Schizosaccharomyces pombe: one gene and its partners. The gene in region 2 interacts genetically with the main gene of each other region. Each region holds a gene or a part of one and is shown on either strand. Other genes may lie near its edges.

Evidence for each region.
Region 1: mutations in pof9 (region 2) and SPOM_SPBC365.16 together harm fitness more than expected from each alone (negative genetic interaction), as found in Schizosaccharomyces pombe (one large-scale study listed by BioGRID).
Region 3: mutations in pof9 (region 2) and nop10 together harm fitness more than expected from each alone (negative genetic interaction), as found in Schizosaccharomyces pombe (one large-scale study listed by BioGRID).

Annotation. Positions count from the first base shown.
Region 1 is NC_003423.3:2,527,663-2,531,423, reverse strand, and holds the start of SPOM_SPBC365.16 (uncharacterized protein), read right to left. Parts: upstream 1,758-3,761; 5' UTR 437-1,757; coding exon 1-436.
Region 2 is NC_003423.3:1,869,866-1,873,626, forward strand, and holds pof9 (F-box protein Pof9), read left to right. Parts: upstream 1-1,967; 5' UTR 1,968-1,981; coding exon 1,982-2,346; exon of another isoform or gene 2,347-2,416; coding exon 2,417-3,455; downstream 3,456-3,761. Other genes in the region: phosphoserine phosphatase Ser2, read left to right, coding at 469-1,266, 1,338-1,436.
Region 3 is NC_003424.3:1,634,605-1,637,333, forward strand, and holds nop10 (snoRNP complex protein), read right to left. Parts: upstream 901-2,729; coding exon 723-900; exon of another isoform or gene 671-722; coding exon 654-670; 3' UTR 507-653; downstream 1-506. Other genes in the region: SPOM_SPAP27G11.12 (uncharacterized protein), read left to right, coding at 1-138; SPOM_SPAP27G11.14C (uncharacterized protein), read right to left, coding at 1,458-2,729. UniProt on the Schizosaccharomyces pombe protein: Non-catalytic component of the H/ACA small nucleolar ribonucleoprotein (H/ACA snoRNP), which catalyzes pseudouridylation of rRNA and is required for ribosome biogenesis.

The DNA of each region.
Region 1 (3,761 bases), 660 kb from region 2:
CGGTGCCCCAAAATTTGGTAAAGAAACTATCCTTCAAGATGGATAAACCGCTGTTTGCAGCGGTGACAGAACAGAATTTAAACCAGCCGGAAGTTTCCGCCTTGAAGACGGGATTCTTGTGACGAATGTTATCCAGTGTGTCTATGGAATTGGCCGTCATATATGTGCCCGAGTATAATGTAAAGACCAGGGCAAAGGGAGCGCTAAAAAAGAAGGCGCCTGGCTTTGATAAAACATATTTGATGGAGCGACTAACAGAGCGTAATAAAGTAGAACGGCCACTAGTATTTTCGACGATTGAGCGGTCGATCGTCAAGATAAAGGGAGAAATCATGGCACTGGCGGCTGTAGCGGCAAATGCATCGATGCCGATCCGCTTCCAGGTATTGGAGGGAACGGGTTTGGGGGACAAAGGGGGTTGACTATTAAGAGCCATGTTAAAGTCAAAGAGTTTAAAAAAAAGATTAGAAAAGATAAAAAATAAGAATAAAAAAACCAGAAAAGATAAAAAAAATATTAAAAACTTTTTTGTGAAAATAATAAAACAAGCCAAGCAAAAGGTCTTTAGGTATCTATTTTTCTCTCTTTTTAAAGGTTTAATCTAATTTATACAACGTTAAAGCTGAAAAGAAAGAGACGATTGCGAAAAAAAAGCAAAGCCAAAAATAATTTTTCTTCAAATAAACTGCACTTCAACAAATGCAATGAAGGAAAAAATTTAAAACGTTAAACACGAATAGTATAGGCTAACGGGGCAGATAGTACAGGTGAGAGGAAATGTCACCAAAAAAAGACAATTAAAAAGATGCTGAGTAAAAATGAAAGACCGAGAAACGACGACAAGACCAATTGAACAACAAAAGTAGTAGTAGTAGTAGTAGCAACAAAAACAAGTAAAGAGAGGGAAACCAAGTAATTCACACTTTGGAAATGTATATATTCCTTTCTTTTCTTTTTCTAAGTAAAAAGATATATATTATATCAACAAAAAAAGGTAAACCCGAAATCCTAAAATTATTATAAATACAAAAAACCAATAATAACCACAAAGTCCAAGTTAAAGCAAAACCACTTGGATTGTAAGAAGGAAGATTGATGGTGGTTTAAAAAAAAATAAGACGATGATTGGGATTGTGAATAAAAAAATTCAATTCAATTTGATTCGTATCGTTAAAACTGCTTCGCTCAATCAAAACTAACAGTAACGTGAAGTAGGCGATATAGGGAAAAGACAGAACGATTTCCAAAATAAGAACGACAAGTGACTAAGCCGTTTCTATAGCAAACAAAGGCTAAGTTTACAAGGGTTGATCAATCAACGGGTGGAAATGAGGTATATCGATGCAATGATAAGACAACCTTGTCCAACAATCCAACTAGCCAATGAGAAAACAAAAGTCAGACAGCCCACCAAATAGCAGGTGAACGAGTAAAAAACAATTAAAACAAAGGGTTTGATTCCACGCTTTGAGAGAATTATCCCGTACGTTTGAGATGGGGAAAGGATGCGTAAAAAAAGCGGTGGTGGTACTGTGGTGGTTGTAGTAGCGGTAGGAATGGCAATATCAACAACACTCTTCAGTAACAAATAGTACTGGGCAAGCAGCAGTATGAGTATGGGATAGCAGTGAGTAAACAAGAGTGTCTAAGGACTTTAAAAGATATTGCTCGTAATAGTTGCTAGTTGTTCCCAGTTACGCTGGTTCCTATCCTTCTTCTCGTGTCGTAATTGGATCAAGTGCTTGAAGAGGCGAGCTGGAAGAGAAAAAAGAGCGAACGAAGCACGTTTTATATCAAGTTGGCATCAATTTTTAGTCTTAAAGATTCTGTGTTATCTTGCGTTAAACGGGTCAAGATAGGGTGATGATCCCCTTAATTAGCAAGACCGAACAACTTGGGACAACTTGGGATAACGGACTTTTGCAAGAAAATTAGGTGACCCAACCTGGTATCGAGGTAACAGCATCCGAGGTAAAACCGAATATGAGAACAAGTACCGACGAGCTTGAAGGGCGGCAGCGGGGCAAGCAAAAAGACAAGGTGGAAGATGCTGTGTTGAAGTATAGGAGGAAGTGAGATGAAGATTTTGTATTGAGATGTGTTGACGCTGTCTAATAAAGGAAGGTTGCTGACAAATAAGGCATGCTCTTGATTGTTTTATTTTTATTTTTTATTTATTTTTTTTTGTGGTTAATTGTTTTTTTTCTAACTCACTTACTCATCTAATCATTTTTTCTCTGGTCCTTTTTCTCTAGTTCCTTTTTTCCTCTAGTCCCTTTTCTCCTCTAGTCCTTCTTCTCTAGTGGTCTTCTCATCTTTCTAGTCTGGTATTTACTGTTTCACATGCAATAGTTCTAGTAGCGATGCAGCTATTCATTGCAAGCGACTATTCCTACAATGTAAACAGTGTAAACATTGTAGAGAGTCGCTGCTCAAAATCTTAGAAACGGCTAATACTCTTTTCTACTCTTGCTTTTTTGTTGATTTCTTTTCTATTGTTTTCTTTACTTTACTTTCTCTACTTTGCTTGTCATTGCTAGGTCTAGTCTTGTCGGGCGAAACAACCCAACAAGAGTAAATTTTCAGATGGTGACGTTGAAGACTGAGATCCTCGACATCAAGATTTGGGTGTGATAAACGAACGGACCCTTAGATGGATAGCGTATTCACACCCTAAACCCGAAACATAGGGTAGCGTTTTTAAGGCTGCCGAAAGGCGAGTCTACTATGGCCCCTACGGTGGATAAGATGGATAGTGAGTAAATCCAAAGGGTATTTGTCAAGCAAAAAAATAAATAAATAAAGCAATCAATAGGTGGTGTTGCATTCGCTAGTTTGCTTCATTTATTAATTATTACATTCATTAGTTTTTTATGTTCGTTAGATATTAAAAGATCATCAAACTCATCCTTCCTCTTATAACGTCTCTTTTTCTTTTTTGTTTACTCTTCACACTCTTGCATACTTTCATAATTTTTCCAACAAAACTTATCTTGTCAAAGCTCACCAAATTTTATCTACGAAATAATCTTTCTCTCTCTCTCTTCATTATCAGTTAGCTACATTCCATTTTCCTTCTGTCTCCCTACTTTCTCCCACCCCGATCATCCACCTATCCATCATCCTTCATCTACTACTGCTTACTATCCGTAATCTATAAGAAGTGTTGGCACTCACTAATCCTCTGAATTTACGGATACTGCTCTTGAACTCGTTATCGCTATGTTTCGAACGGCGACTCTCTTCCTAAACACTTTCTAGCAGGTGGTTTCGCGATCCCAATTGCTAAAACACTTTATTTCATTTTCCGTCCCCTGCTGCCAAGGAGAATTTCGGATCTAAATCGACGAGGAAGAAGAGGACGGTATTGCAAAATTTGAGAGATATTTACGTTTGTATGAAGTTTGAAGAAAAAAAAAAAAAAAAAGAGGATGAAAATTTTTCTAACATACAATCTTTCATCAAATCCTTAAACTTGTTTTAGTAGTACGCTTACTAGAAATCCTTTTTTAAATTTTTTTTTATTAATTACCTAGTATTTAGCTTTTTTTGTTTTGCTATTTTGGTTCTCATATTTTTTATCTTTAGTTCTATTTCTATTCTATTTGTTCTCTTCTATCCTTTCTCATCATTAGTCAGATAAAATAAAAATCTCTCAATTCAAATATTTCGATTTCAATACATTCGGCTTAAAATGTTTCATTCGGTTCGAAATGCTCTTTTATATTCCGTTCCTTGTTATCTTCCCCTTTATTTCATCT
Region 2 (3,761 bases):
CTTTTAGGAATGAAAGAGAACAATTATTACATTGCCAAATATTTTTTTAGTGCTTTTTCACTTTACAAATATCTCACTCTCTACTTTATGGTAGGCTCTCATTTTTGGAATATTTGCCCTGATATATTGCAATATTTCCAAACATCTTCTTAGTTATGATTTCTTGCTTTATTGCTTTAATGTATAAAAAAAATATTTGCTTATTAACCTGTGTTTGAAAACGGAGTTTAGGCACCACTTTACCAACTTCACAATTTATACAGCATTTTGAAGATAATGATAAATTTGTAAACAATAACAAAAAATAAGCTTGTTTGAGATTTTCAAATAACTTAAATTGACCTAGTACTTGTTGTCGTTTAACGTTAAGCTTAATCAATAGCCGAGTAATTAGTAAATGGGACTTGCCGAAAACAACGCTTTTCAACTTAGAAAATTTAGCAAACCCACTCATACCTTTTAATAAGCATGGTCAACGCAGCCATAGTTGTTTCCTCAAATCGTCCAAATGTGCTTGAACAGATTTCCTCCTTGTTTAGAGATGGGAAGACTCGTTCTCTGGGGGAACAGTGGACTTTAGTATCAGGCCAACTTAAAGGAACGTTTGAAGATGCTAAAGACGCTTGTAACCGCATTTCTGCTACTGAGAATGTAGACTGTAATTGCTTGAGTGAAGCAACATTTTCCACTAAAAAGAAGCTTGTAGTATTTGACATGGACTCGACGTTGATTCAACAAGAGTGTATTGACGAGCTCGCGGCAGAAGCAGGCATCCAGAAAGAGGTTGCTACGATTACATCTCTTGCAATGAATGGGGAAATTGACTTTCAAGAATCACTTCGTCGTCGCGTTTCTCTACTACAAGGGTTGAGCGTCGATGTCATAAATAAAGTCATTGGCAAAATTACTTTCACTCCAGGAGCTAAACAGCTTTGTCATTGCCTTAAGCAAATGGGTGCGACTCTTGTTGTCGCTAGTGGTGGATTTGTTCCAATGGCTGAATATGTCAAGGGACAACTGGACTTGGACTATGCATATGCCAATGTACTTGAATTTTCCGATGATGGTAAATTCCTCACTGGAAAAGTTCAAGGTGCAATTGTAGATGGACAACGAAAAGCTTCCATTTTGCGTGAAAAGAGGGAAGAGTTGGGTTTAAATAAGCTCGAAACGATGGCTGTTGGGGACGGAGCTAACGATTTGGTCATGATGGCCGAATCCGGTTTAGGAATTGCGTTCAAAGCTAAACCCAAAGTTCAATTATTGGTATGTTCGAAATTTTTTTACAAATTTATGTTTTTAATGATCTTACTAACTCGATTTTTTTTTTTAATTAGGCTGATTCGAAAATCAATCTTCCATCTTTGCAAAACGCTCTTTACCTCTTGGGTATTGATGAGCAACAACAAAAAAAGCTATTGGAAAACAAAAATTAATTTAGAATTTCCAAGAATTTTTCAATCGCAAGGCGCTGTCAAGAACTCTGAGCTACTGTGGCTTGGTTTTTATAAAGCAATATTTTACTTGTGCGCGTGGTCTTTTTTTCTGTAGTAGGAGCCGTCTTTTATATACCCTACTTCTTTATTTTTGATACTCTTATTTTTCTTTTTCCTTAATTTACAATTTTGGTATGATCAATGCTTCATTGGAAAGGGTGTGCAATGAATGCTTAAAAAAAAAGGGGCAGTTCAGAAGCTTTCTTCTTTAAAACAGACAAGAATTACTCAATTGGTTTTTATAAAGCCGATCATTTACTCTTAAATCTGCTTCGTTATGCTGATAGACTTTGAAATTGATTCGTGCAATGACTACACCTTCGTTTCATAGACCTTTCTTTATTATCATTTATTAATTGTAAATAATACAATTGTATCTAGTTATTAAGAGTTGCAGAAAACATGTGCTTTTGACGTATTTCAACACCGTTTCCCTTGTATATATTCAGAGGTATTCATATACTACTACCCATGCGAGATTCATTATGGCTAAATCACCATTCCTGGAGCTTTCTTACGATATATTGCTAGAAATTAGTACATATCTTGATTATAAAGATATAGTTCATTTGTCAGAAACATGCAAGTCACTTTCGTATGTTTTTGACGACAAAACAATTTGGCATCGATTTTGTGCACGGGTCCAAGGTCTCACCAATGTAGTCCCAGTTGTTGATGATAATTACAAAAGACCCTATGCTGTATGGAAAGACCGAGGATACGCTTACTCATGGGGGCAACAGATAAGAAACTATTTGGGCCGCGTCGTCAATACAAATCAGTATCCTCGAGATCGTCCTGGTGCATTGACTGGGAAGGACGTTCGTTCTACTATTCAGGTTCAAGTTGGGTAAGCGCATAGATACAGGAATTTATTTGACTGCACTACAATGACTAACTATTCCCTATGCGGAATTTAGAGGTTATGGGATGTATTTATTAAATGAAAACGGAAATTTATATGTTACGGGGGTACCAAACAATGTTGGGCCCGAATTGATGAGAGATTTAGAGCCAATTGTGAAAATCCATGCTGGTCGAGAGTTTTGTCTTGCACTCGGTGAGACGGGACACTTGTATCAAGTATCTCTAAAAACACGAATTTGCTTGACAGATGAACAAAATATGCTATCAGCCTATCGCGGAAGAATTGCTAATTTTAAATCAGGTTGGGACTCGCATTCGGCGTATGTGCCGGGCATTGGCTTTCTTGTCTGGCACACTGGACGAGAAAGTGAAGCGCAACTTTTCCAGCCAGAGGCATCGATGAAGGAATTCGTGCTGAACGATTATGTTCACTGCGCAGGATTCCTAGTGTATACTGTCGCATCACCTCAGAAAAAAGGCGCCGTGTTTCGTTTAGACCTGGACCAAGCTACACAACACACGCTAGGAAGAGAATTGAAGAGGTTCGCTTCGCACGACCCCCATCAAGGTTGGCATTTAGCAGGCAGCTTTGAAACTTTCACATGTTTATCGGACGATGGCAATACTGTTTACATGGGTCATGCTAATACCAAGCAGGTCGATGATGACCCGGTTATCCACGACTTTCTCCAGAACCGAGGAATTAAGCAATTGGCGCATGGCGATCATCATCATCTTTACTTAACAAGCGATCATTCCATATGGTCGTGGGGTGTTGAATTACGTTATTGTGGGTGTTTAGGTTTGGGTTCTCTTCATTTGCAAGAACAGACATCTGATCCCAGCATTGTTTCTGATCCACGCACCGCACGCAACATCGTTTCCATTCCACATCAAATTCACTTTTCAGGAACTTGCTATTCAGTTGCAGCCGGCGGATGGCAAAGTGCTGCTCTCGCCATTTCGGAATCTGTTTTACCCGAAGTCAATGTGCCTCCAATTACAACTTTTTCTATCATCCGACCATCCAGAGTTCCAGCGTTGCGCTTTTTAGCTGCCCCTGCGACTCGGACTTTGGAAAGGGACGGCTAGGTGAAATAGTGATCAACTTTGCTTGGTAAGCTAATTTCCGCGTGCGCACTAGAGAAGGATTTTATTTTGTCCGCTAAGTAAGTGAAATAAATAAATATCTCGGCCACCTCGGACTTCCGAATTTATCTCTATTTTTACTAATTCCTCTAGGTAAGCCAATTATAAAAAAAAGCAGCACAAGGAAAACACAACGGTGATTAAATAAGTGAGAAAATTTTTTTTCCTTCTTCCTGTATCGCAATTACATAAAGTACACACATTGACCAATTTATATTCCTGACCCCTGTGAATTAAGTTACTGTGCTA
Region 3 (2,729 bases), on a different chromosome or scaffold from region 2:
ACAAAGGAATGGAGACAACAATTGGCAAATTTTGCTCGTCTATTCGCCTGGCAAGTCTCATGCGATTTAGACAGTCATAAAAGAGAAGGGCCAGGCATCTTTGAAGGTACGGATGTCAAAATATTTGACTCATTTTAGACTTGAAATCTCCTTGAGGATTATGCTTGAGCGGCATATCTCCGTTTTAAGAATTGAAATGGAGAAATTTGAACTATCCTAAGTTTTGTATGTTCAAAGAGTCTGTTTGAATAGATACTTGGCTTTTTACATCTGTTTTATTTTTTTATTATTTCTTTTCACAAATTGGTTAAAAAAATGTTGTTTCGTTTTTCATTCAGAATTACCACTAGTATGTTACTACTTTTATCGTTATTTTACATTCTCAGTAACTGTTTAGCATTTACTAAAAGATTTTATGTATACACCAGGGATTTATTCTTTGTAGTTTAATAGATAATAAATGCAAATGCCAAACAAATAATGCTTCGCAATAAACATCGGAAAATCAACTCAAGTTGAAATATATTTTTTTTTCAATTGAGCACACTACTCACATAACCAAAGAAAAATCAAAACTATTGATTATTTAACCAAAACCATACTTATGTAGCTCCCTTCTAAAGGCGAAAATTTTTCGACGTTTTCTTATTTGCTCAGTAAGGTTTTGCAGCTAATCGTTAGAACACTATCATTATACCAATTAATTTAATAGAAATACTTACGCAATTGAGTAAGTAGTACATGAAACCGTTTTTTCAGAGTATAACGTTGTCGAGAATATTTATCGTCAGGAGAGAAACGAGCAGGATGCGAAGATTTTGTGACTCTTCCATCTGGAGATACCTTTTTTAAAGTATAAACACGCTTTCCCTCATCATTTAAATAATACATCAAATGCATTGTGAAAAAAAAAACGGATATTACAATTTTCCTATGGTGCTGGAAAGGTGTAAATGTCAAAAGTACCTCAACTTCAGGTGACTGTTTTTGTTGCTAAATTACGCTAAAGCATTATAACACAGACATAATCAAATATTAAATTATTTAGCGACTCTCTTCTTTTATTATTCACTAAAATTTAAAAACAATACTGTAAGCAGAATAAGCAATATGGGGTTAAGGATATAGCAATCTTCGTAAAATTAAAACAGCTATTGTCATTATAATAAATTAGAATAAAATAATTTCTTTTAAAATCCGAGTTTTCAGCTATTAAGAAAATGCGATTAATTATTGACCAAATCAGATCCAACTATTTAGTTTACATCTTTAACATACGTTTGCTTGGAACATTTAGTAATTGCACCTTAGTACACTTAACTTATGGGTTATTAAACAAGGGAGTTAAACCTCTATTTTAAGCAGTTCGTTTTTGATTGTCTTTCTTTAGGGAAATATTATTTTTTTTTTTTTATTGCGCATCTAATTAAGATAGATAATTAATTGATGTCTTTGCTTTAATAATCACTCAAAGAATTGCTCTTTGTCTCCTTTTCAAACATATCCATTAACGTTTGACTAAGTTTGTTCCATGCAACCTCCCCCATTGAATTTTCAAAAAACAAAAGTAAATTAACCAACCGCGGTAGAAGACTGGATTCTGATAAATCATCGTCAGAATATCTTTGTACTCTGATATATTTCCTTGAACAATTGAATATATGGCTCAAATTATCATTCCTAATGATACACTGTAATCCACCTAACTTTTGCACTGCCTTTAAGCTTGATGGGTAAATTATGTACGGACATTGTTTGTGATTATATTTTAGTAACTTCTCTGCTTCTCCGAGATCCAGCGTTTTCCCCACATCTGTAATATGCCAACAGAGCATTCGAATCGGGTTGATCAATAGTCGAGATATAAACCAGTGCGAACTGAATGATTGGTGGTAAAGGCTATTTTCAAAATTTCTTTGCATAAATTTTAAAATAAGTTCTTGTATAGCGATTCTCTGTTTCGGTGTAAGCGACTTTTGTCGCTGATGAACAAATTCTGACAAGTATTGAAACAACGTTGATTCATTGTATTGCTGACTATGTAATTTTGTCAGAGCGATTCCTTTCCTGGAACAGAAAAACAAATTTTTCAGATGAGTAGAAGACATAATTTGATACAGACCACCCATTGCAGCTACAGCATGTAGATGGTATCGTTCCAAATGGAATGGATGGGCAAATGATTTAAGAAATAAGCGGTTTGCCTCCTGTAATACAACCATTTTTTTTGCAATCATTAAATAAGAAATCAGACATAAGGTTGGCTTAACCAACAAGCTAGCGAGCAACGTATTAAATGAAGAAGAAAAAGAATTATTGAAAAGTTCTTTTTCGGATAACTCTTTCCTGGCGACGTTAAACTTTGAAACATATAAATCAAAATTTTGGTATATAGTCTTTTCTGATTCAGGAATAGATAATATTGAAATTGACTCGTTAGATATTAATTTATTAGGAATCACAGTTTTTATGCTTCGAGTAAACTTGTAAGTTTCTTTTTTTGTCTCCTCGACATTTATTGTTTCGTATAAAGAGTCAATCATGGCATCCCAAACGTCCACTGGAACAATTTTCTTTCGATTTTTGGAAGATGAATATGCTAATAAAAAAATTTTTGCGACAAATAAGTCATCTTTTTCATTTTCTACAAATGCAAGCAAGTTTTTTTTTAAACCCATCAAGTAAACAGCGTTGTATAGACCTCCAATATACTTAATTGCTAATAAATT